Cricetulus griseus: one gene and its partners. The protein of the gene in region 4 interacts with the protein of the main gene of each other region in a pairwise test. Links are inferred from orthologs where the notes say so. Each region holds a gene or a part of one and is shown on either strand. Other genes may lie near its edges.

What was found.
Region 1: the proteins of Efs (region 4) and Trappc6a interact in binary tests that used the Homo sapiens proteins (3 or more experiments, as listed by UniProt). The two-hybrid records come from large-scale screens. The link is inferred for Cricetulus griseus from reciprocal best matches to the Homo sapiens genes EFS and TRAPPC6A.
Region 2: the proteins of Efs (region 4) and Sorbs2 interact in binary tests that used the Homo sapiens proteins (3 or more experiments, as listed by UniProt). The two-hybrid records come from large-scale screens. The link is inferred for Cricetulus griseus from reciprocal best matches to the Homo sapiens genes EFS and SORBS2.
Region 3: the proteins of Efs (region 4) and Sh2d3c interact in a two-hybrid assay, tested with the Homo sapiens proteins (2 studies listed by BioGRID and IntAct). The two-hybrid records come from large-scale screens. The link is inferred for Cricetulus griseus from reciprocal best matches to the Homo sapiens genes EFS and SH2D3C.
Region 5: the proteins of Efs (region 4) and Tssk1b interact in binary tests that used the Homo sapiens proteins (3 or more experiments, as listed by UniProt). The two-hybrid records come from large-scale screens. The link is inferred for Cricetulus griseus from reciprocal best matches to the Homo sapiens genes EFS and TSSK1B.
Region 6: the proteins of Efs (region 4) and Ostf1 interact in binary tests that used the Homo sapiens proteins (3 or more experiments, as listed by UniProt). The two-hybrid records come from large-scale screens. The link is inferred for Cricetulus griseus from reciprocal best matches to the Homo sapiens genes EFS and OSTF1.

What each region holds. Positions count from the first base shown.
Region 1 is NC_048602.1:27,848,320-27,852,582, reverse strand, and holds the start of Trappc6a (trafficking protein particle complex subunit 6A), read left to right. Parts: upstream 1-1,463; 5' UTR 1,464-1,472; coding exon 1,473-1,604; intron 1,605-4,263. UniProt on the Homo sapiens protein: May play a role in vesicular transport during the biogenesis of melanosomes.
Region 2 is NW_023276807.1:40,745,006-40,748,505, reverse strand, and holds part of Sorbs2 (sorbin and SH3 domain-containing protein 2), read left to right. Parts: intron 1-647; coding exon 648-835; intron 836-2,599; coding exon 2,600-3,500. UniProt on the Homo sapiens protein: Adapter protein that plays a role in the assembling of signaling complexes, being a link between ABL kinases and actin cytoskeleton. Can form complex with ABL1 and CBL, thus promoting ubiquitination and degradation of ABL1.
Region 3 is NC_048599.1:144,431,401-144,435,343, reverse strand, and holds the start of Sh2d3c (SH2 domain-containing protein 3C), read right to left. Parts: upstream 2,801-3,943; 5' UTR 2,648-2,800; coding exon 2,611-2,647; intron 741-2,610; coding exon 281-740; intron 1-280. UniProt on the Homo sapiens protein: Acts as an adapter protein that mediates cell signaling pathways involved in cellular functions such as cell adhesion and migration, tissue organization, and the regulation of the immune response.
Region 4 is NW_023276807.1:210,117,069-210,120,455, reverse strand, and holds part of Efs (embryonal Fyn-associated substrate), read left to right. Parts: intron 1-1,969; coding exon 1,970-2,245; intron 2,246-2,495; coding exon 2,496-2,636; intron 2,637-2,726; coding exon 2,727-3,387. UniProt on the Homo sapiens protein: Docking protein which plays a central coordinating role for tyrosine-kinase-based signaling related to cell adhesion. May serve as an activator of SRC and a downstream effector. Interacts with the SH3 domain of FYN and with CRK, SRC, and YES.
Region 5 is NC_048597.1:71,397,292-71,401,227, reverse strand, and holds the start of Tssk1b (testis-specific serine/threonine-protein kinase 1), read left to right. Parts: upstream 1-1,136; 5' UTR 1,137-3,338; coding exon 3,339-3,936. Other genes in the region: Dgcr2 (integral membrane protein DGCR2/IDD), read right to left, coding at 751-829. UniProt on the Homo sapiens protein: Testis-specific serine/threonine-protein kinase required during spermatid development. Phosphorylates 'Ser-288' of TSKS. Involved in the late stages of spermatogenesis, during the reconstruction of the cytoplasm.
Region 6 is NC_048596.1:42,587,555-42,591,054, reverse strand, and holds part of Ostf1 (osteoclast-stimulating factor 1), read right to left. Parts: intron 3,380-3,500; coding exon 3,272-3,379; intron 2,584-3,271; coding exon 2,534-2,583; intron 1-2,533.

The DNA of each region.
Region 1 (4,263 bases), on a different chromosome or scaffold from region 4:
CAAAGCTGCTGCAGCCACGCCCGGCGCCGCGGGTTCCACAAGTTGTCCAGTGACATCCGAGTGCGCAGACGCACACGATAAATAAATAAATCAGTCAATATAAAGCAAGAACGCCCGGCGCTGATGGCGCACACCTTTAGTCCCAGCACTCGGGAGGCAGAGGTAGGCGGATCTCTGTGAGTTCGAGGCCAGCCTGGTCTCCAGAGCGAGTGCCAGGATAGGCTCCAAAGCTACACAGAGAAACCCTGTCTCGAAAAACCAAAAAAAAAAAAAAAAAAAAAAAAAAAAATTACCCAAGTGCACACCTTTAATCCCAGCACTCTGAAGGCAGAGGCAGGTGCATCTCTGAATTTGAGGCCAGCCTGGTCTACAAAGTGAGTTAGTTGCGGGACAGCCAGGGCTACACAGAGAAACCCTATCTTGAAAAACAAAAAACAAAACAACGGGCGCTCTGGAGGCAGAGGCAGGAGGATCACTGTGAGTTAGAGACCAGCCTGGTCTATACAGTGAGTTGCAGGACAGCCTCCAAAGCCACAGAGAAAGACTGTCTCAAAAAAATTAATAATAATAATAGGGGCTGGAGGGATGGCTCAGAGGTTAAGAGCACCGGCTGCTCTTCCAGAGGTCCTGAGTTCAATTCCCAGCAACCACACGGTGGCTCACAGCCATCCGTTATGAGATCTGGTGCCCTCTTCTGGTGTGCAGATATACATGGAAGTAGCATGTTGTATACATAATAAATAAATAAAATATTATAAATTAAAATATTAAATATTAAAATAATGGCGCCTTTGATCCCAGCACTCGGGAGGCAGAGGCAGGAGGATCTCTGTGAGTTCGGGGCCAGCCTGGTCTACGCAGTGAGACCCTGAAACCGAGAGTTCCCGGAGTCCCCCAGCACAAACCGCACCCTGCCCGTCCCCCAGGCCAGCTCGCCCAGGCCAGCTCGCGGGCCGCACAGACGCCAGGCGTTCACCCGAAAGGACGGCCGCCCAGGGGGACACCAAAGGGGAAGGACATCAACGCCCGCAGGGCCCTACCAGATCGCCGGAGCGCCGAACCGAGGGACCCGTCGCCTGGCGGAAGTGACTCCGCGTGGAGTCACGTGGGTGGACATCCGGCCAATAGGAAAGCGGTTAGACAAGCCGCTTCCGCGTTGCGTTTTTTTGTGTGAATTTTGGAAAAATCTATAGGGCACATGGTTTTGTTTGTTTCTTGGGATTTTTTTATTTGTTTGTTTTTGTTTTTAAATTAGGACCGTCACCCGAATCTGAGACTCGGCCAATGGGAATGTGCAAAGACCCGGAAGGAGCGAGGGACGCGAAGTGAGGGCGGAAGTGAGTTTAGCGTGCGCGGCCGGCGGAGGGACTCGGGGCCCCGCCCCCTCCCTCGTATCCCCCAATCGTCAGCGCGCGGGGGCGGGGGCTGCCTCCGAGCACCAATCAGCTCGGCTCTGCCTCCGGAGCGGACCAATGGGGAGCGGAGGGGTTGCCAGGGAGCGCGGGGGCGCGAGGCGGCGCATGGCGGACGCGGTGCTGTTCGAGTTTCTGCACACCGAGATGGTGGCCGAGCTGTGGGCCCCGGACCCAGACCCTGGCTCGGGGGTGAGCGGCACGGCGTGGCCTCGGGGGTGACTTCCCGGTGGAGGAGTGGGGTGCAGCCGGGCCAAGGCCGGGCATTGCTAAGGTGGAGTGCCATGGTGCCGGGCCCGGCCCTGCTGCTAATTAGGGTAATTGGCGATTATTAGGGGCGGGCGAGGGCTCGCCTCACCTCTCGCTTGTGGGCGACTCCCCGTGCTTCCGTTTCCTCCTTAGGAGATGCACCCCAACCGTCCCCCTGTCACCCGTCCCCGACGCCCCTGTGCCCCGGGGTAAATTAGTCTGTGCGGACCGCATTACCCCCAGCACACAGTGGGTCCTTTAGCAAGGATTTGGCCCCAGCAGTGAGGAAAGGCCCCACCCGGTGATGTGGAGGGTGTTGCTGGGATCACTGCAGGATTGTAACCCGTAATAGTCGCTGCCACTTACGTGTCCCTCGGTGCAGCGCTGGGCGTCACGCTCGCACTCGCGTGGCTCGTCCGCCCCATCCCGGGGCCGCCAGCCTGACCCTTCCGTGTGGCCACTGCTTGCACTCTGCTCTGACTCAGTAAAGGGCTTACAAGTAGCTTCCCGCCAGCCTGCAGAGCTGCGAGCTTGCCGCTGCCACCCAGCGGTCCCTTACTGGGGCCCCACAGCTGAGACTATAGAGTTGTTGGGGGTCCCAGGGACCTCCCTGACTTTGGCTGCTTGGCGGTTGTCACGCCTTCCTCTGGAGTTCAAAGCCTGCTGTAGGCACTGCTCTGCCCCTTCTGTTGCTTCCCTGACAGCCCGCTGCTCCCCCTGATGAGCACGAAGTTTGTGAGTTTGTGAGGCAGGTTTTCACTGCGTAGCCCAGGCTGAGGCTAGATCCCAGCCCCTCACTGGGGGACTCCAGGCAGGGGCTCTACCACTGAGCCACGCCCCAGCCCTCACTGGGGGATTCTAGGCAGGGGCACTACCCCTGAGCCACACCCCAGCCCTCACTGGGGGACTCCAGGCAGGGGCTCTACCACTGAGCCACACCCCAGCCCCTCACTGGGGGATCGCAGGGCTCTCCACTGATTCTAGGCAGGGGCTCTACCACTGAGCCACACCCCCAGCCCCTCACTGGGGGATTCTAGGCAGGGGCTCTACCACTGAGCCACACCCCCAGCCCCTCACTGGGGGATTCTAGGCAGGGGCTCTACCACTGAGCCACACCCCCAGCCCCTCACTGGGGGATTCTAGGCAGGGGCTCTACCACTGAGCCACACCCCCAGCCCCTCACTGGGGGATTCTAGGCAGGGGCTCTACCACTGAGCCACACCCCCAGCCCCTCACTGGGGGATTCTAGGCAGGGGCTCTACCACTGAGCCACGCCCCCAGCCCCTCACTGGGGGTGGCACTGGCTGGTCCTGCCTCTGCCTGGAAAGTGCTGGGATTAGAGGTGTGCAGACTCCAAACTAAACGTCCTCGCTCTGTTCCTTCTCTGACCTGAGAAATGCACCCCCAGATCAAACTTGGGCCCTGTGTGTCCGTGGTGTCCCCTGTGTGGTACGGTTGACCTCTGTATCCCGCAGAGCTGCACTCAGAGCCAAGGGCTCTCACTTACCTGTTGTAATCTCGGACACATGATCCTCCTGCCTACACGTCCCAGGTGCTGGGATTGGAAGCACCATTTTTCTTTTTCTTCCAGACAGGGTTTCTCTGTGGCTTTGGAGGCTGCCCTGGCACTCACTGTGTAAACCAGGCTGGCCTCGAACTCAGAGAGATCCGCCTGCTTCTGCCTCCCAAGTGCTGGGATTAAAGGCAGAGGAACAGATTTTTTTTTATTACATTTGTAATGATTATTCACAAACTTTTTAATTTCCTAAACTGTATGGTATAATTATATAGCAGTAACATTGCATTAGCTTTATAACCATCTAGGAAGGATTTACAGTCCATAAGAAGACGGGGATTGCTGGACTGTGGTGGTGCACACCTTTAGTCCCAACACTTGGGAGGCAGAGGCAGGCGGATCTCTCTGAGTTCAAGACCAGCCTGATCTATACAGCTAGTTCCAGGAAGGCCAGGGCTACATACATAAACCCTGTCTCGAGAAAAACAAAAAAGGCTGGGGTTCTGGCTCAGTGGTAGAATCCCAGCCTAGAATTCCCCAGTGAGGGACTGGGGGCGTGGCTCAGTGGTAGAATCCCAGCCTAGAATTCCCCAGTGAGGGACTGGGGGCGTGGCTCAGTGGTAGAGCCCCTGCCTAGAATCCCCCAGTGAGGGGCTGGGGGCGTGGCTCAGTGGTAGAGCCCCTGCTAGAATCCCCCAGTGAGGGGCTGGGGGTGGCTCAGTGGTAGAGCCCCCCCTAGAATGCCCCCAGTGAGGGCTGTGTGGCTCAGTGGTAGAGCCCCTGCCTAGAATCCCCCAGTGAGGGGCTGGGGGTGTGGCTCAGTGGTAGAGCCCCTGCCTAGAATCCCCCAGTGAGGGGCTGGGGGTGTGGCTCAGTGGTAGAGTCCCTGCCTGGAGTCCCCCAGTGAGGGGCTGGGATCTATCCTCAGCACAACAAAATAAAGCAAAGACTGTGGCAGAGACTGGGCTGTTGCAAACACTCCATCTCATCAGGAGGAATTTTACTGTTTATCTGTGGAAGTTAAGTGTCCAGGTTGTAGAACAGCACCTGAGGCAGGCAGAACATCCTTGTTTTGGAAGCAGCAAG
Region 2 (3,500 bases), about 170 Mb from region 4:
ACATATAACCTACCTGTGGCCTCCTATATACTCTGAAATATGTACAATGCCTCATGAAACACAAATGTTATTTAAAAGAGCTGTTAGGATTAGAGAAAGGGCTCAGTGGATAAGAGCAATTGCTGTTCTTGAAGAAACTCCAGGTTCAGTCCCCATGACAGTTCGCAACCATCTGTAACTGTAGTTCCAGGGGATCCTATGCCTTCATCTGTCCTCCATGGGCACCAGGCACTTGGTACGGTATGCAGACATATATACAGGCAAAACACTCATACACATAAATAAAAATGAGTAAATGTTACATAAGTGGTTATTATAATGGATCACGTGGGGAATAAAAACACAAGTTTGCACATGTTCAGTAGCAATCCAATTCTTAATATTTCCAGTGCACAGTCAGTTGAACCTACAGATATGAAGAGCCTATACAGTCCAGTCAGATATTCTTTAACTTGAAACTTCCCTTTAAAAATGAAGTTAAATATATTTTTAAAAATGAATATAAAGAAAGTTTTTAAATGTGAAGGAATAAATTTCTCACCATGCAACTTTGTGAGTAGGTTAGGTGTTAAGCCTTTATCTAGTTTCTTGCACATGTATTAACCTCTTCCAAGCCCCATCAAAGTGACACTGATTCCCTCTGTCAGTTCTGCAAGCATGGCTGGTGATTTTAGGAAACGGAGGAAAAGTGAACCTGCAGTGGGCCCACCCAGAGGTTTGGGGGATCAGAGTGTGAACAGGACCAGCCCGGGCCAGGCAGACCTCCCAGGATCAAGCTCCACATTTACGAAGTCTTTCATTAGTTCTTCTCCTTCCTCTCCATCAAGAGCCCAAGGTGAGCCACAATAAATGAACAAAGCTTGCTAGTTCACAATTTAGCCCAGAGTATGGGAGAGGGCCAATCCTATGATTGTGACTTACACTTGTTTTTCTTGTAGCGTCCTGAAGCAAATACCATCTCCCAGCAAAGCCTTTGCTTCTACCTAATCCAATTTAAGCTGGCAAACCATTTGAGTGTCATAAAGAACTCAGATTAACATTTGTTACCATTTTCTCAAAAATATGTTGAATTTATTATTTTTTAAAACTCAAAGTATTAAATAATTTATTTGTCATTTGTATAGAAATGCATTTATAGTCTTTTAGGTAGGCAAATTTTCTAATGTTATTATAGATAACTAATTAAATTTGTAAAATAAGAAGTATAAATAGCAACTGAAAAACATGCAATGGGGTACTTTAAATTCTGGATTAGAATGTAATTTATTTAAGGCATGCCTTTAGTCATTTACTCTATTTTGTTCAACCTTTATTTGTATGATAGAGTATCACATTCTACTATGCAATACAGTGGTCCACAATAGTTTACAATAAATACATACTGGCTTGAAGCCACAAATACAAAATTTAGAAATGAGAGGCCTTAATGAGATGACTCAGTAGGTAAAAGGCCCTTGCCACCAAGCTGGTCAACCTGAGTGTAATCACCAGTACTCATATAGTGAAAGAGAACATAACCCCACAAGTTGTCTTCTGACCTCTACTGAAATGTACACATACATGAGAGAGAGAAAGATGAAGGAAAGAAGGAAGGAAGTCCAACCACTTTTTCAGATGGCCTTCTCCTCTTTGGAAATGCAGTAAGCTAAGCATCAAAGGGACAGAGTTGCTCATTTGGGTCTCTGTTAGTTTACTTATGTCTTTTTTTTTTTCTTTTGAACCATGATCTATTGACTCAGTAGCATGCCAAATTTGGGGCCCCATAATCTCCTGTAGTCTTTGAAAGTTAAAATAGAAGAGAATAGGTTTTCAAAACATGTAAAGAAAATGAGTTATAATAGAAGTGTCTGTGAAGTAGGACAGAGTGGGGACATCTAACAATAGTCCGCACTAACCCTGTTGCCATACAGTGGCTAAAGTGAAGCAGTAGCTAGTTTGCAGAAGACTGTGATGACTGGTCTCTGTGTAGGTGGACAGCTGGGTGGCCTAAAACCTAACTAAGTCTCAGAAAGTAACTTGCTCATTACCTAACATGCCTTCATCATATCATATTCTACTCATCTACACAGCAAATATCATAAGTGACAAGTCAGTCATGAAATGCTATGGATCCATCATTCTTGGATACGATACAAAATGGAAAAGGATCCTGATAAGTTTAAGTATTTTTTTACCATAGAGAGTCAAGTCAAGTTCCTTTCCCAAGCATTATAAATTGAAGAATTCAGGGGAGGTTGCAATTCATAAATTGGTGATAGAGATAGCCACACTGTTAGCTTAATAGAGAAGAGTTGTGGTTTGGGAATGTCTTGTTGAACAAAAGACCATCGAATTATGCAGTAGGAATGTGTTAGCTACACCAAGTGTATTTCATGTGTGATTTGGTTTACTGTAGTATCTGCAAAGCTGCGCTGAAAAATATTATCGTGTTTTAGCATCAGGCATTCCTCTTTAATTGAAGCTGTGTGTGTGAAGGTACCTAGAAGCCATGCTAACTGTCTTCTCTTTGCTGTGCTAATACTGACATGCTTTCCTCACTTTGTGAACCTTTTAACTTCTCCAAATGTCTCTCTCCTGCCATGCTGCTCTGGATTGAAAGGTGGGGATGATAGCAAAATGTGTCCATCCCTTTGCAGTTACTCGGGGCTTAATGGCGCCCCCTCTAGTGAGTTAGAGTACTGTGGTGCCTATAGACAGCATTTGGATGTCCCCCGGGATTCTCAAAGGGCCATCACCTTCAAGAATGGATGGCAAATGGCCCGGCAAAATGCAGAGATCTGGAGCAGCACCGAAGAGACTGTGTCCCCCAAAATCAAATCACGTAGCTGTGATGATCTCCTGAATGACGACTGCGACAGCTTCCCAGACCCTAAAGCCAAGTCAGAAAGTATGGGTTCTCTGTTATGCGAAGAAGACTCCAAAGAGGGCTGCCCCATGATGTGGACTTCCCCGTACATCCAGGAAGTGTGCGGTAACAGCAGATCTAGAATCAAACACAGGTCTGCCCATAATGCCCCAGGCTTCCTCAAAATGTACAAGAAAATGCATCGCATCAACCGCAAGGATTTGATGAATTCAGAGGTAATTTGCTCTGTGAAGTCCAGGATACTGCAGTATGAAAAGGAACAGCAGCACAGGGGTCTGCTCCATGGATGGAGCCAGTCTTCCACCGAGGAGGTGCCCAGGGACATGGTACCCACCCGCATTTCGGAATTTGAAAAGCTGATACAGAAGTCGAAGTCCATGCCCAATCTAGGGGATGAGATGTTGTCTCCTGTAACCCTAGAACCCCAACAAAATGGTCTGTGTCCCAAGAGGCGGTTTTCTATTGAGTCTCTGCTGGAGGAAGAAACTCAGGGTAGACAGCCTTCTCAGGGTCAGCGAAACTGCAAGTCTAAAACTCTAGTGCCCATCCACATCGAAGTCACCAGTGACGAGCATCCCAGAACACACATAGAGTTTTCCGACAGTGACCAAGATGGAGTTGTGTCTGACCACAG
Region 3 (3,943 bases), on a different chromosome or scaffold from region 4:
CCTGATCTATATACCTAACCCACTTGCCACTTACTCGCTTTATTTCCTTATTTTGTTTTGTGTTTTGTTCATTTTGTTTTGTGAGAGGTCTCATTCTGTAGTCCAGATTGACCTCTCAAATTCACAGCAAGCCTCCAGCCTCAGCTACCTCATTGCTGGGATTGCAGGATGCACCACTTACAGTTTCAGGCCAGACGTTTGTGTTGAAGCTGTACCAACTAGAGAGGGCTAGAAACCCATCTGCACATTTTCTGCCTTCCCTATCCCTGATGGCACCTACCTTTCTGGGTACACATCCCCAGGAATTTGTTCCTCCTTTGTGTCTACTCTGGGTTCCTCGGGCTTCCTCAGAGGGTCCACTTCTACTGCTGAAGGTGTAGGTCCCACTCCTGGGGTGTCCTCCAGTGGGGCATCCTTTCTCTCCACTGCCTCCTTGGCTGCCTCTAAGCCTTGAGGCACCAGGTGGGACTGAAGGCTGACCTCTTGGGCCTTCTGGGCAGCCTGTTGTTGCCGAACCTTCTTGATGTTAGGTCGAGGCATGGTACCCATGTGGCTGTACATGTCACTGGAACGAGCATAGGCAGGAGGACTCTTGGGGACTGTCACCATGTCATCCTGTGTGGCTTCAAAGGTGTCAGGCTCCAGATAAGATCGGATACTAATGGAGGCTGAAGACCGTCTCAAAGAAAAGGACCGAGGGAGATTGGAAAGGCTTCCAAGACCCTTGAACTTGAAAAACTCTGGCAAGAGAGGAGGAGAGGAAAAAGGATTAATGACAGTGTCAGCAGGTAGTAACAATGAGAACCACCACAGGTCCCTCAGTGAGGGTACAAAGAAGGTTCAAGGACAGCACCTCACCTAGACAGGGTTTCTCTGTGTAGCTCTGGCTGTCCTGGAACTCACTCATTAGACCAGGCTGGCCTCAAACTCACAGAGATCCATCTGCCTCTGCCTCCTGAGTGCTGTGATTGTGGTGTGCACCACCACTGTCTGACGATATAATTTTTAATACAATGTTTTAAAGAAATCTGTTTTAGCCGGACGTTGGTGGCAAACGCCTTTGATTACAGCACTCGGGAGGCAGAGGCAGGAGGATCTCTGTGAGTTCGAGGCCAGCCTGGTCTCCAGAGCAAGTGCCAGGATAGGCTCCAAAGCTACACAGAGAAACCCTATCTCGGGAAAAAACAACAACAACAACAACAACAACAACAACAACAACAAAACAAAAAACAGAGGGGTAGAGGGTAAGGAGTGGTGTCCAAGGCAGCCTCTGGCACCTGGGTTGAAAGGATATAGGTGCAGCAGCCAGCCTGAGGATTGCTGGTCCCTATCTATGGGTGTTTTTTGCCTCCATGGGCTGAGCCCATGTTCCAAACTCCACAGGCAGGGATCCTGTCATAGCGTCTTCCATCAAGGACGGAAGTATATTCTGTCTGATCACTCCTCCCTACATCACCCCCAGACTGTGGGACTGTCCCTTCTCACAGTGCTATCTTCTGACTTCTGTAGGGCCTTCAAATGAGATGAGCAAAAGGGGGAAACACTGACATTTCTACTTCCCTGGCCTCCTCTGCATCCTTCTCTGCATCATACACCCAATGGAATATAAGCATCATGCCCACATTTGACACAGACAGAATCCATGGCCCAGAGAGGGGGAAGGGATGTGCACAGTGAGAATGGGGCTGAGCCTGGGTGGAAGCTCTGGGCTCAGGACCTGGGAATTTTTTCCTGCCCATTCCCCTTGATCCTAGTCCAGACAGGGCTGGCTACTGCCCTGCTTCTAGAAAGGCTGCCCTGGGACAGAGGTTTCACTAGTATTTAGCAGAAGGGCCACTGATTGCCTCCTCTTTCAGTAGTACAGATTTTGTTTTGTTTTGTTGTTTATTTGAGAAAGTGTCTCACTCTGTAGTCAGGTTCTGCTCATGAGCCTCCTGCCTCTGCTTTCTGATTGCTGGGATTACAGAGGTGTGTATCTCCATCTGTGAGATACAGTACCGGCTCTCTCTCTCTCTCTCTCTCTCTCTCTCTCTCTCTCTCTCTCTCTCTCTCTCTCTCTCTCTCTCTCTCTCTCTCTCTCTCACACACACACACACACACACACACAGGAAGGACAGCGGAGTCAAAGAACAGAAGTTTGGGGCCCCAAAATGAATAGACCCGGAGAAAGAAATAGCAGTGAATGGCATAGTTCACCCAGTAGCTCCCAGCCTCGCTACTGGTAGGGACATATGACAGCATCCATCATCCTCTAGCTCCTTAGAGATCTCCCTGAGATCTGGTGTTGAGCTGGGTTCCAGACAAATTAGGGTATGTGGGGGTCTCTCCCCACACAGCTTCAAGGTCAGAGAGAGGCCAGGATGCCAGTGATGTGAAGGCTGAGAGGCTGGGTGTAGCAAGAGAGAAGCAGAGGTGGAGGAGAGAGAGGGAAAGACAGAAATGAAAAGACGGAGATGGAGAGACACCCTGGGCCATAAGTGGACAGTAACACTCTGGGGAGAGATAGAGAGATGGTCAGAAAGAGAAAGAGAAACAAGGAAACAATGGTGAGAAGCAGATGCAGAGGGGCCAAGCTAAAAGGAGAGAGGAGGGTGGACAGTCTGTACTCACTGAACTTTTTGCCGGTTTTCTTGGGCATCTCTGTCATGTTGTCAAGTTGTGCAAAGCCCCTGTCTTGCTAGCATGTGGCTGCTCCAGGCTCAAGACATCAAGGTTGAAGGGCCTCCCCGCCACCCCTTCCCCTTTCTCTTGCCCTCTCAACTTGCTTCCTCTGTGTATTTTTAAACTAGTGAAACTCCCACAGCCCCACCCTCCCACCCTCTCCACAGGGGGCGGGGGCTGGGGCCTCCCCAGTCCAGCCCCTGAGGGCCTCCTCAGCCAGCAGCAGGGGCAGGGGGCACTCCACAAACCCATGGGACCTGGAAAGCCTGAGGAGCAAACCACAGGCTCTGGGAACAGAGCCCACTAGGCTGGGGGCCACAGGGGACCTGCCAACAGCTGTCAGGGGGGCTGGCTCATAGGATGGGAATCAAGGAGACAGGCCCAGGATTGGGTAGTGTATTCTAAGGCCCAGTACCCAGGCAATGCACTGGCAGTGATAAAGATTATGCTGGAGGTAGGCCTGTGGGCTGGGGTCATTCACTTTTGATTGGCTACTTTGTCACTGCGTGATCATGGGTGAGATGATTCATCTGCTTGAGTGTCAGTTTCCTCTTGGTGAGCAGGACGTGCCAACCTCACGGTGGCCAGAGCAGCAGACAGATCCAAGCATGATTGTCCCTGTCCGAGTTAGCAGGCACGTGTGAGGGCAGGTCTTCCCTGCCCTTTGGACAGAGACAGGAAAACTGAGGCACAGAGAGGCAAGGAGATTACACAGGTCACAGAGAGAGTTGGTGGCACACACTGGGTCACAATTTGTCCTTCCAATAATATACAGGCTGGTGCCCTGCAAACACAAATAAGTGTTTGTGTGTGTGTGTGTGTGTGTGTGTGTGTGTGTGTGTGTGTGTAGGAGTGTGTGTGAGTGTATCTGAGTGTGTGTCTGTATGTGTATGTGTGTGGGTGTGTATGTGTGTCTGTATATGAGTATGTGTCTGTGTGTGTCTGAATGTGTATGAGTATGTATGTGTATGAGTGTGTCCAAGTGTGTATGAGTATATATGTGTCTGTATCTGAGTGTGTCTGTGTGTGTGTGTGTGTGTGTGTGTGTGTGTGTGTATCTGAATGTGTATGAGTTTGTGTGTTTTCTGTGCCCACAAAGTACAGATATAAGGAAATGAAACCCCCATGTACAGCTGTAGTGGAGGGTGGTAGCAGGTGTTAAGACTGGAGAGCTACAAGGTCAGTCCAGTTCTGAGTGACATCACCTCTCTAGCCTCTGTGCCAATAGTGACAAGGACGATGCCATGTGCAGCCATCCTCTAGAGATTCTGCTTCCCTCGTT
Region 4 (3,387 bases):
TAGAGATTGAACCCAAAGCCTCAAACATTCTAGGGAAGTGTTCTGTCGCTGAGCTACATGTTCACATACTCAGTAGGTTTTTTGTTTGAGTTTTTTGTTCGTTTGTTTTGTTTTGAGGCAAAGCATTATTTAGCTCAGGCTGGCCTTAAACCCCTGATCCTCCTACCTCCACTTCCCAGGTGCAGGGATACCTGGTGTGTGCCACCACAACCCCAGACGCTAAATATAACTCCAAGACTTTATGTATGCTAAGGGAATTGCTCCACCAACTGAGTTACATTCCCAGTCCCCAGCCTTCTTTTTATTTTTCATTTTGAGATAGGATCTTACTAAGTTGCCCAGTCTGGCCTCCAACTTTCAACTGGAGGATTGCTTCAGCCTCCCAGGTAGCTGAGATTGGAGGCCTCTATCACCAGACTCAGTTTAACTAAATATTTTTCACTTACTTATCTAAATTATGTATGTGTGTGGCTATATACACAAGTGCAGGTGCCCACAGTGGCTAGAGGCATTGGATCCCCTGGAACTACACTTAAATGCAGTTGTGAGTAAGGCAGTGTGGCTGCTGAGGACCACACCTGGATCCTCTGGAAGATTAGTGTCCACTTTTAACCACTGAGCCTTCCCTTTTGCCCCTGCCTGGAGACTTGTAACTGAATTAGAGAGTCCATGGGGCTACCTGGCCAGCAGTGTCTAACTGACTGTTCTCCAATGTCTCTGGGTAAGCCACATTGCCTGGGATCCTACTGGCAGTCAGTCCTCTAGCCATCACAATGAAAGCTGAATGTGCTGGATAGTCTGAGAGGAGAAAGGTTAGTTCTACTAAAGGACCTTATGGAACTGGAACAAGAGCACTAAGAGGAGCTAGAAGGAGCCTATATACATACCTTACTCACCTTGGAGTCACTGTCCCTCTCTACTGCTGTGCTTAAAATTAAAAAAACACCTTAAACTAAAAGAAAAAAGCAGGGCTGGTGAGATGGCTTAGTAGGTAAAGGCACTTGCTGCCAAGTCTGATGACCTGAGTTCAATCCCCAGAGCCCACATGGTGGGAGGAGAGAACTGACTCCTGCAAGTTGTCCTCTGACCTCTGGCACACATACACACAAACAAAGTACATAACTGTTGAAAGACAATCACACCTGTGGTTGTAGAGGGGCAGTAGAGAGTATGGGCGTTGATACCAGTGCGTTTTCTGCCAGCTACATCAACTGCATGTCGCCGGACCAAGCACATGTGCCCCAGTTTTCCTTCTACGATGGAGATTGTGAGAATTAGATTCAATGTAAACACTTAAACAGTCCCTGGCACTTTGAGTTTTGTGAGTTGGTACCTGAGCTCATGGCCCTCCCTGAAAAGCTTAGGTTCCCACTGGACAGGCCTGGAAATAGATATACTTATGCTGCTTCTGGTAGAACTGTACTTGTTCAGGCTAGGAAAAGCTATGGCTCTGTCTTTTGCTTTCTCAAGTATGCCTTCACACTCCTAAATGAGACTCTTCCAGGCTCTCGCAGGAAGATGGGTCTCTATCGTTGCTTATCAAACCGTTCACTTGGAGGAGTAATCACTGGGGGATTGGGCGGGGGACTCAAAAGAAATTCTGTGGGGGACCCTAGAGAGATCTCTTCATGTGTTCTGAAGAAATTCATTTAGCAGTTGTGTATTGAGGACCAGTTCTGAGTGGGTAGGTAGTGTTGTGAAGGGAACAGAGGTGGCTACAGATGCGGAACTGAAGGATGTAAAAGGATCAGTCAGATAGATCCAAGAATGCTTGGAGTAGAGGAAATATAAGTGCAAAGGCACCGAGATGGGAAAGAATTAGGTCAAAGAATGAGGAGGAAGGGGAATGGGCCTTCCGTGATGATGACATGGTAGAGCCTAATCGGAAGCAGCTTGAATGGAATGGGAGACTGGTCTAGTCTCTACGTGACCTTGTGTGTGACCTCTTCTCTCCTAACTTCCCTACCAGGCCCAGCTTGCCAGGGCACTCTACGATAACACTGCAGAGTCCCCCCAGGAGCTGTCGTTCCGCAGAGGGGATGTTCTACGGGTACTGCAGAGGGAGGGTGCCGGTGGACTGGATGGCTGGTGCCTTTGCTCCCTGCATGGCCAGCAGGGTATTGTGCCTGCTAACCGAGTGAAGCTCCTTCCTGCTGGTCCAGCACCCAAGCCAAGTCTCACCTCAGCATCTCCCACCCAACCTGGCTCATGTCCCACCCCAGAGCATGGCAGTGAGGAGCAAGAGGTAAGAACTGGAGCCCCTCATCATCTCAGGCCTGGCCGTCTTTGCCCCCTCCAGGGCCTGGGGATGGGTGTCAGGGAGGTCTTGGCTGAGACCTTGTCCTTTCACTGAGTGATGACAGATGTGTGTCTGCCCCCTACTCCTGAGCTCAGCACAGGGAGTGTGGAGGGAGCAGACTACAGTGCTTAAGCTCCTGAAGTTGCACCTGTGTCAATGAATTCCACTGCTGACATTTCCACCTCTTCATCCCTAGGTGTATGTGGTACCACCACCAGCTCGACCCTGCCCTGCCTCAGGACCTCTAGCTAGATCGTGCTCATCCTCTCCTGACTCCATCTACAAGGTCCCCAGAGTCAATGGGACACAGCTAACTGCCCCCAGAGATGTGTTAGAGGTTAGAGCTCTGTGTGTGTTGGGTGAGAGCCTGAATTCTCAGGGGTGGTCTGCTGCTGAGCTGGAGGCTAACCCTGGTCCCTCCCTCCAGGTCTATGATGTGCCTCCCAGCATCCTCCGGGCTCCCTCCAGCTGTCCCTATGACTCCCCAGCTTCCTTCTCCTGTCCTCTGGCTCCAGCTGTCCCTCAACCCCCTGGAGAGGATGAAGCTCCCTACGATGTGCCTTTGGCCTTGAAGCCATCTGCCGAGCTGGAGCCAGATCTGGAGTGGGAAGGGGGCCGGGAACCAGGGCCTCCCCTCTATTCTGCCCCTTCGAACCTGAAACGGGCCTCAGCTCTCCTCAACCTGTATGAAGCCCCCGAGGAACTACTGGCAAATGGGGAAAGCAGGGACTCAGATGAAGGCATCTATGACGTGCCTCTGCTGGGACCAGAGTCACCATCTCCAGAGTCCCCAGGAGCTTCTTCCTCCGCTGACCTGGACACTGTGGCCCAGCTTCTGACCAAAAGCCCTCCACTCCAGCACAGGCCTCGGCTGCCCTCCACCGAGAGCCTGTCCCGCCGCCCTCTGCCTGCCTTGCCTGTCTCTGAGGCTCCCACCCCTTCCCCAGCTCCGTCTCCTGCCCCAGGTCGAAAGGGCAGCATCCAGGACAGGCCTCTACCCCCTCCCCCACCCTGCCTGCCTGGTTATGGGGGCCTCAAACCCGAGGGAGATCCAGAGTGCAGGGAGGTAGACGATGACTCAGCGGACC
Region 5 (3,936 bases), on a different chromosome or scaffold from region 4:
CATCTCTTTCACCTAAAAGTTCAAAGACACCCCTGCCATTTATAAAACTTTATGGCAGATCCCTAAAGTGACAGTGAGGCTGTACAGGAACTCATGTGCCTGATGGATAAATCAACCCTGCTTTGGAGAGTGGGGAGCAGTTAGGTTTTCTTAACCCAGTTCACGAGTATCAGAAACAGGTAGAAAAAGGGACCTGAGGTTCCCCACCACACACAAAACTCCAAGGGAGTACCTAAAGTATTTAATCACACCACACAAACAAAGCACTAAGTGCCGGGCACCGGTGAGAGGACTCTGTCCCCTGCACACGAGGTTTGGTTTACTCCCAGTACCTCCTTTGAGCCAAGCTAGACTTCTGTGATGCAGCGTTTCATTACGAGGCAATAAGCCACCAGCCATCGCTGTCCAAAGCTGAAACACTGGCACAAAGCCACACTTGAGCGGACAGTTGGGACACCAGGTGCCTCCACAAGCAGCTCCCAGCCCCCTGATTTCCACTCAGCCCAGAAGCAGCTCCTGGCCAGTGGCTCCCAGAGCGCGCGGCGCTGGACGGACGTGGGTCCAAAGGCGACATCCTCGAGGCTCCGAACCCAGGTACACTCCAACTTGTGCCCGAGCAGGGGACGCCCAGAGGCCCGCGGCCAGGCCTCGCTAGTGCCTTGCCGAGGCGCAGGGGCCGCCCTGCTGCCGCGGGTGGAAGGACGCCCCCAGCCCCACCCCGACCGCGCCCCCACCCCCGGCGCCGCGCACCTGGCCGCAGCGGCTCGGTGACAGTGAGAACCAGCAGGAAGAGCAGCAGGAAGGCACCGCTGTCTGCCTTGGGCACCATTTATCCTCCGTTCATCGTCCCCGGGGCAGCTGTGTGACCCCGCGGGGAGGCCGGACCTAGCCCAGATGAGGGCGTGAGGGCCGGACTCGGGCCGGGCAGAGAGGCTGAGGGTGAGGGTTCCAGCTGGGCCGCCGCGACGCTGGGCCGCTGCAAGGGAACGCCGCCGGCTCGCGCGCACTCTAGGCCGCAGAAGCGGGACGGGATTCCGGCTCCCGCAAGATGGCGGCCGTCCTGCTCGGGCCCGCGCGACCCCGCCTCCAGCCCACACTAACCAATGAACGCCGAGCCGGGCGGAGGGGGCGGAGGGAAGCCAGGACGGGCGCGCTCCAAACGCGGGGCGGGGCGTGAACTGGAGGGCTGGAGAGGCCAGGCCGAGGCACGGAGCGGCAGTGGGCGGGCTTATAGGAAATGAAGCATGCCATTGGCTGAGCCGAGAGGCGGGACTCCGGGACTGAGCCCAGGCTGCGAGGTGGCCAAAGGGGTCCCTAGTGCTGGTTGGGGATCACAAGGACCGACAGTGTACGCCCCCTATCTGGAGTGGGAACCTGGGATTAGAGAACTGAGGAGGCAGCGCGGGACCCGAACGATTTTTACTCAGGAGGCCCAGGTCCGTCCCAATGCCTGCCTAACACGTCCTAAAGGTGCCTTCTAAAGGCCGAACCCCTGTGAAGAAAGTGAAGAAATCTAGAGGGCTGGCATGTTCTAAGAATGGAGAAGGCACACAAAATTTCAACAGAGGAGGAAAATGGCCTAAGGAATGTCAGAAACAGAGAAGCCCAGATCCACTGGACCAGATCTCGGGAAGGTCTTATCAGTGAAGGAGAAAAACCCAGGCACTGATGAGGCTACAGTCTGGAAACGAGGCTCCATGTGCCCACCTCACACTTGTCCTCATGAACAGCATGAATGTGTAAGAAGTGACAGCAGATGGAGAAGCTATCTGTTTGGGGGAAGGGCCATATGTACAGGTCCCGCAGTGGATGATCGGGCAAGGAAGTGAGAAAGGGGAAAGCCAGTCACCTCCAGCATACTGGACTCACTTTAGTACACCTCCAACAAGTCCCAGAATTTCAACCTGTTTTACCTGGAGCCATGTGAGTGGCTCCTTATAGGTGGATAAAGTCAAGTTCAAACCCAAGATTAGGACAAATCATCAGATATTCAAACTTCCATATTTCTTGGCCCAGGGCAGATGTTGGACACAGGTATGGTCAAAACTGAGGGGGCCCCTGCCCCTTGCTGGCAGAAGCAAAGATACCTATCCAGCACTGCCCTTGGCATTTGTACAGTCCTGGTGACACATGCCCAGCACTCAGTACAAGATCCAGGCCCAGCCTTCTGCCCCCACACCAACCCCCACACCAAATCTGCCTTGGGAGTCCAGCAAGAGCCATGAGTTGGGCAGGTCCTTAGGGAGGGAATTCACAGCCAAGTGCAGAATTCCTGCCCACTGTCCACCTGCAGCACCGTTAGACCAGGAAAAGTTTGTGAGAAAAGCGAAGGACAAGAGGTGAACAGACCAGCTGAACCCCACAATGAAAGCACACTGGTAACCCCTAAACGTACAAACACTGTGCCAGAGAAGGTAAAGGACCCGAAGAAAATAATCCTTTAAAAGATGAACCCTCAGCTGGGTGTTGGTGGTGCACACCTTTAATCCTGGCACTCAGGAGGCAGAGGCAGGCAGATCTCTAAGTTCGAGGCCAGCCTGATCTACAGAGCTACATAGAGAAACCCTGTCTCGATAAACAAAAACAAAACAAAACAGATGAACCCTCACCCATCTTGGCCCTATTCTATGCCTTTGAGGGCTGCCTATGTGACAGCATTAAGAGCTAAAGGGGTGGTGTGTGTGGGGGGGTTACAAATGGTTTCCTTATCACTGGCCCATGAAGGGGTGGCCTTCTCCATTGCCTTCTCCTACCTTAGGGAACTACATTACCTACAGGATTCCCTACATTTTGCTCCCACCTTTGTTTTTCACCCCTTTATCAAGACTTCTGATTATCCTTAATTGAGTCTACCATCTGTTTCCTGTCGGGACCCTTGACTGATAGAACCACCACCCTGGATCCCCTGGATTGACCTGGTTTGCAATTATGAGCCATGTTTCTATATAGCAGTTTAGTTTTTAGTTTTAGAAATGTGGGCAGACCTTTGGGTCTCAGCCCTCTCTTACCTCAGGTTGGAGCCAAGCATGAAGCCTTTTTGTTCACTTTTAGTTTGCTCCAGTACATGCGCAGACCTTCCAGGTTCTAAGTCCAAGTGGCTCAGGTAATAGCCTCATTTCCCCCAGAGCACTACTCCTTTGTGACTTCACCCACTGAAGTCACCCCCGGAGACAGTGCTGAGTGTTCCATGCTCGAGTCTTGGCCTCTTAGGAGGCAGGGACAGCAGGCCTGGCCAGCTCAGAGGACTCTCTGTCCACAGTGTAAATGAGGACGCTGCTGGCCCATGTCTGGCAGGGATGTAGAGGGCAGCCTCAGAGGCACTGGGCACTCCCGGCACCATGGATGACGCTGCCGTCCTCAAGCGACGAGGCTACATCATGGGGATAAACTTGGGAGAGGGCTCATATGCCAAAGTCAAATCCGCCTACTCTGAGCGCCTAAAGTTCAACGTGGCGGTCAAGATCATCGATCGCAAGAAAGCCCCCACGGACTTCCTGGAGAAATTCCTTCCCCGGGAGATTGAGATCCTGGCCATGCTAAACCACCGCTCTATTGTCAAGACCTATGAGATCTTTGAGACATCAGATGGCAAGGTCTACATTGTCATGGAGCTTGGGGTCCAGGGTGACCTCCTGGAATTCATCAAAACTAGAGGAGCCCTGCAAGAGGATGATGCTCGAAAGAAGTTCCATCAGCTCTCCTCTGCCATCAAGTACTGCCATGATCTGGATGTCGTCCACCGAGACCTCAAGTGCGAGAATCTTCTGCTTGACAAGGACTTCAACATCAAGCTGTCTGACTTCGGCTTCTCCAAGCGCTGCCTGCGGGATGATAGTGGTCGACTGACATTAAGTAAGACCTTCTGTGGGTCAGCGGCTTATGCAGCCCCCGAGGTGCTGCAGGGCATCCCCTACCAGCCCAAGGTGTATGACATCT
Region 6 (3,500 bases), on a different chromosome or scaffold from region 4:
GCTGCTCTGGCAGGGATGGGGGAAGAAAACTAACATGGCAGAGCAAGGCCTCAACAGGAAATGAGGAGACCCAGCAACAGTCAGGAACTGAACATTCCTAGAGGTACTGGGCAAGAATGAGGCATGGAGAGGAAATAGGAGTGGCCAAATGGATTAACACAACATCATTGGAACCCCTGGACCAGTCACTGGCAGATGTCCCACTAACAGCAGTAGAATTACCTTGCTGAGAAATTACCCGAGTTCCCCAGCTCATGCACAATGGTATGAGAGAAGGTGACAAGAGCCAGTCAGATGAAAACCTATAAGATGAACTGTAAGATCTTTCACTCCGCTACTTTTAATCACCTCTTTGCCCAGGGAGTGGAGTGAAAGGTGGTGACTTAGGCCAGGAGAGTGCAGATCACCTCTGCCAAACAGTATGGCCCCTCCGTAGGGGGAGGTGTGGCATTTATGTCAGCATACTCAATACAGGAGGGACCTCATCATGTCCATCAAGAAGCACCCTCCCCTGCCACCAAGTGCACATAGCTTCCAATCACACAGATAAATAGATGAACCAAAACACTGGGTGTTTGAAAACAGCTTAAGTGTTTGAATAGAGGTCAGCTTAAATGAAAGAAAAGGCTCTGGGAGAGAAGAGAACATTTTTTAAAGTAATAATATATCAGTCATATAAGGTGGTACTATAATCAAACAAGAAAAAGACACCATTAAAAGAGTAAAATAAGAGCTTGTGGTCAACAAACTTCTCAGATAACCCCAATAATACCTGCTCTCCCTTGTCCCCCAAGAGACCCTATATACAACTCTCTTGTCCTCAAGTGTGGGTGAAGTCAGAGAATACAAAGGCATCACTCCTCTTGGCTGGACACTGCAGTGCATTCCTTTAATCCTAGCACTCAGAAGACAGAGATAGGTGGATCTCTGTGAGTTCAAGTCTATCCTGGTCTACACAGCAAGTTTAAGGCCAGCCTGGGATACACAGTAAGACCTCATATTCAAAAATAAGAAGCCCATCACTTTGCAGACAATATGTATTGGGTTCACTAAAAGGGAGGTTATTCTGGGTAGGCCACATCTAGTCAGGAAGGCTTTTAAAAACAAAAGTTAAATGGTAGAGCAAACACCACCACCTACTAGCCATGAGGAGGACAGCAAACACTCATTTTGTAAACTCTTAATTAATAGAAGAATGGGGCATCCAAAAGCTGAGGGCATCAGTACTAGGGGGCAAAAAGCTCAAATCTCAGCAACTGCAATGAGCTTAGAAGAGAATCTCAAGCTTTCCAAGAACCCAGGTCCAATGGAACCTGGGCTTTACAGTGTGAGATCCTAAATCTTGTGATGTCATGCTCAGAATTCCAACCCACCCAATACACATTGTGAAACCTGGGATAATTTGATACATAGCAATAGAAAATGAATATAGAACTTTGAGGCAATTAAAATAAAGTTGGGGCTGCAGAGATGGCTCTGTGATTAAGAGCACTCAATGGCTGCTCTTCCAGAGGACTCAAGTTCAATTCCCAGCAACCACATGGAAGCTTACAATTGTCTTCAACTCTAGTCCCTGGGAAATCTGATGCCCTCTTCTGGCCTTCATTGGTACTACATGCATGTGGTGAATATAAAAGCAAGCAAAACATTGTATGTATATACATAGATAATTTTTAAAAACCTTTAAAAAGGAAATCATTTTAAAATGATAAAGGCCAAGAAATCCCTAATTTAAAAAAAGAAAATATGAGGTTCAATCTGTAGAATCAAAAGAACAGAGAAAATGATTAGATGTAGAAAAGGAAACAAGACAATTTCTCAGACTAAAAGACTTTGTGGTACTCACTAGGGAAAAATAGCACTAAGGCACACCCTTGTAAGTTTTCAGAATACCAAAGACAAAGACTCCAATAAGAAAAAGACAGGTTACAAGCAGAAGCTTGCAAACTGCCAGAACTAGAAGTAATGGGAGTTTGTCTCCTAAGGCTCACATTTGGGAGTCTGGGTAAGAGAGGAGCCCTTAGAAGAAGGGTCCTTGGTGCAGTTTGGATCTTAAGAGTCCCCAGAGATTCGTGGCATGCTGCTATTCAGAGGGGGGTGGTAAAGTCTTGGGGAGAGGGGTGAGTGGAAAACCTTCATACCCTGGGGTGTGTGCTTAATGGGGTGGTGAGATTGTTCACTGGAGATGCAGCCAGCCAGCCGATTGGCACCACCACATGCTCGCTCACCTTGGTACCAGCCCAAGAGCAATGGGGTAACCTGATGGTGGAACAGCACTTCCCAAACTGGTACAGACAGAAACCTTTTCTCTCTGTAAGCTGATTATCTCTAGCATGTGTTCTAGGACCAGAGAATAGCACTTAAGGATGGAGGATGTAGCTCTTGACACACAGCTGAACAGTGTGAGGACTTGGCTTCAGACCCCAGTACCACAACACAAAACAACAGTCACAGCAACAAAACTCTGTGTGCTTGTAGCATTAGAGAAAGAGCTGGGTGTGCTAAATGTGTTCCCCATGATAAGCAGGCTCACCTGCTGGTTCAGCTCCACGTTTGGCTGAGTAAACAGAACCTCCACTATGTCTGCAATTCAAACAGAAAAAGGAGTTTCTTAAGACAGAAACAGTGAACTTTGTAAAAGCAGATAGCATAATTGCAAAAGATAATACTTGTTAGGAGAATGTTCTAGAAAATGCTTACAAGTTTCTCAAATTTTATATTAAAAACTAAACAAAAACCCTAAATGATAGATCACAAAAGAAAATTTTCAGACCTGAAGGTATAGCTCAGTTGGTGAAAAGGAGTGGATGGTGGGGTTTGGACTACAATGAAGTAAACAGAATTCACCTTGCAATTATTACTGTTTGCAAGAGAACTGCAAACTTAAGCCAGTGTGGTACTTCTTAATTTTTTTCATTAAACTTAAACTTAAAATGTAGGACCAAAAGCATAGCTAGGGAAAAGCTACAGGAGCCAACTGGGCCTTCCTCTGTGGCATGTGGCAGTGGGTTTGTTATCCTGTTACTGGCATTTTTCTGATACATTCTGAAGCCTGAGAGAGGAAAGGAAATTCCCAGCCTTTCCAGAGGTCTGCACAGTGGGTCTCCTCAGTCACATTCCATCCTCACTGCTCTGCAGTTTCCAGAAACACAGCTTTTGGCGGACTTTGGAGGATCTGCAGCATTGCTTTTACCATGATAAGAAAGGAGGCTCCCTTGGGTGAAGGTGATTCTGAACAGCACAGACACATGTATCTAGCAAGATGCAGTACCTTTGTGGCCCCCGTGGCAGGCCCAGTACAGGGCTGTGCTTCCAGCTTTGTCCAGGCCGTTTACACCCACTCGGTTGTCCAAGCACTCTCTCAACCAGCTCAAGTTGCCTGAAAGAATTTTACACTTATAAAAAACACAAGAAAATGGCTTTTACTCCTTGTTTTGCTTTTAAATCAATTTCATCACTGTAAGCTCCATTTGTGATGCATTAATCAGCAAATCCTAAAA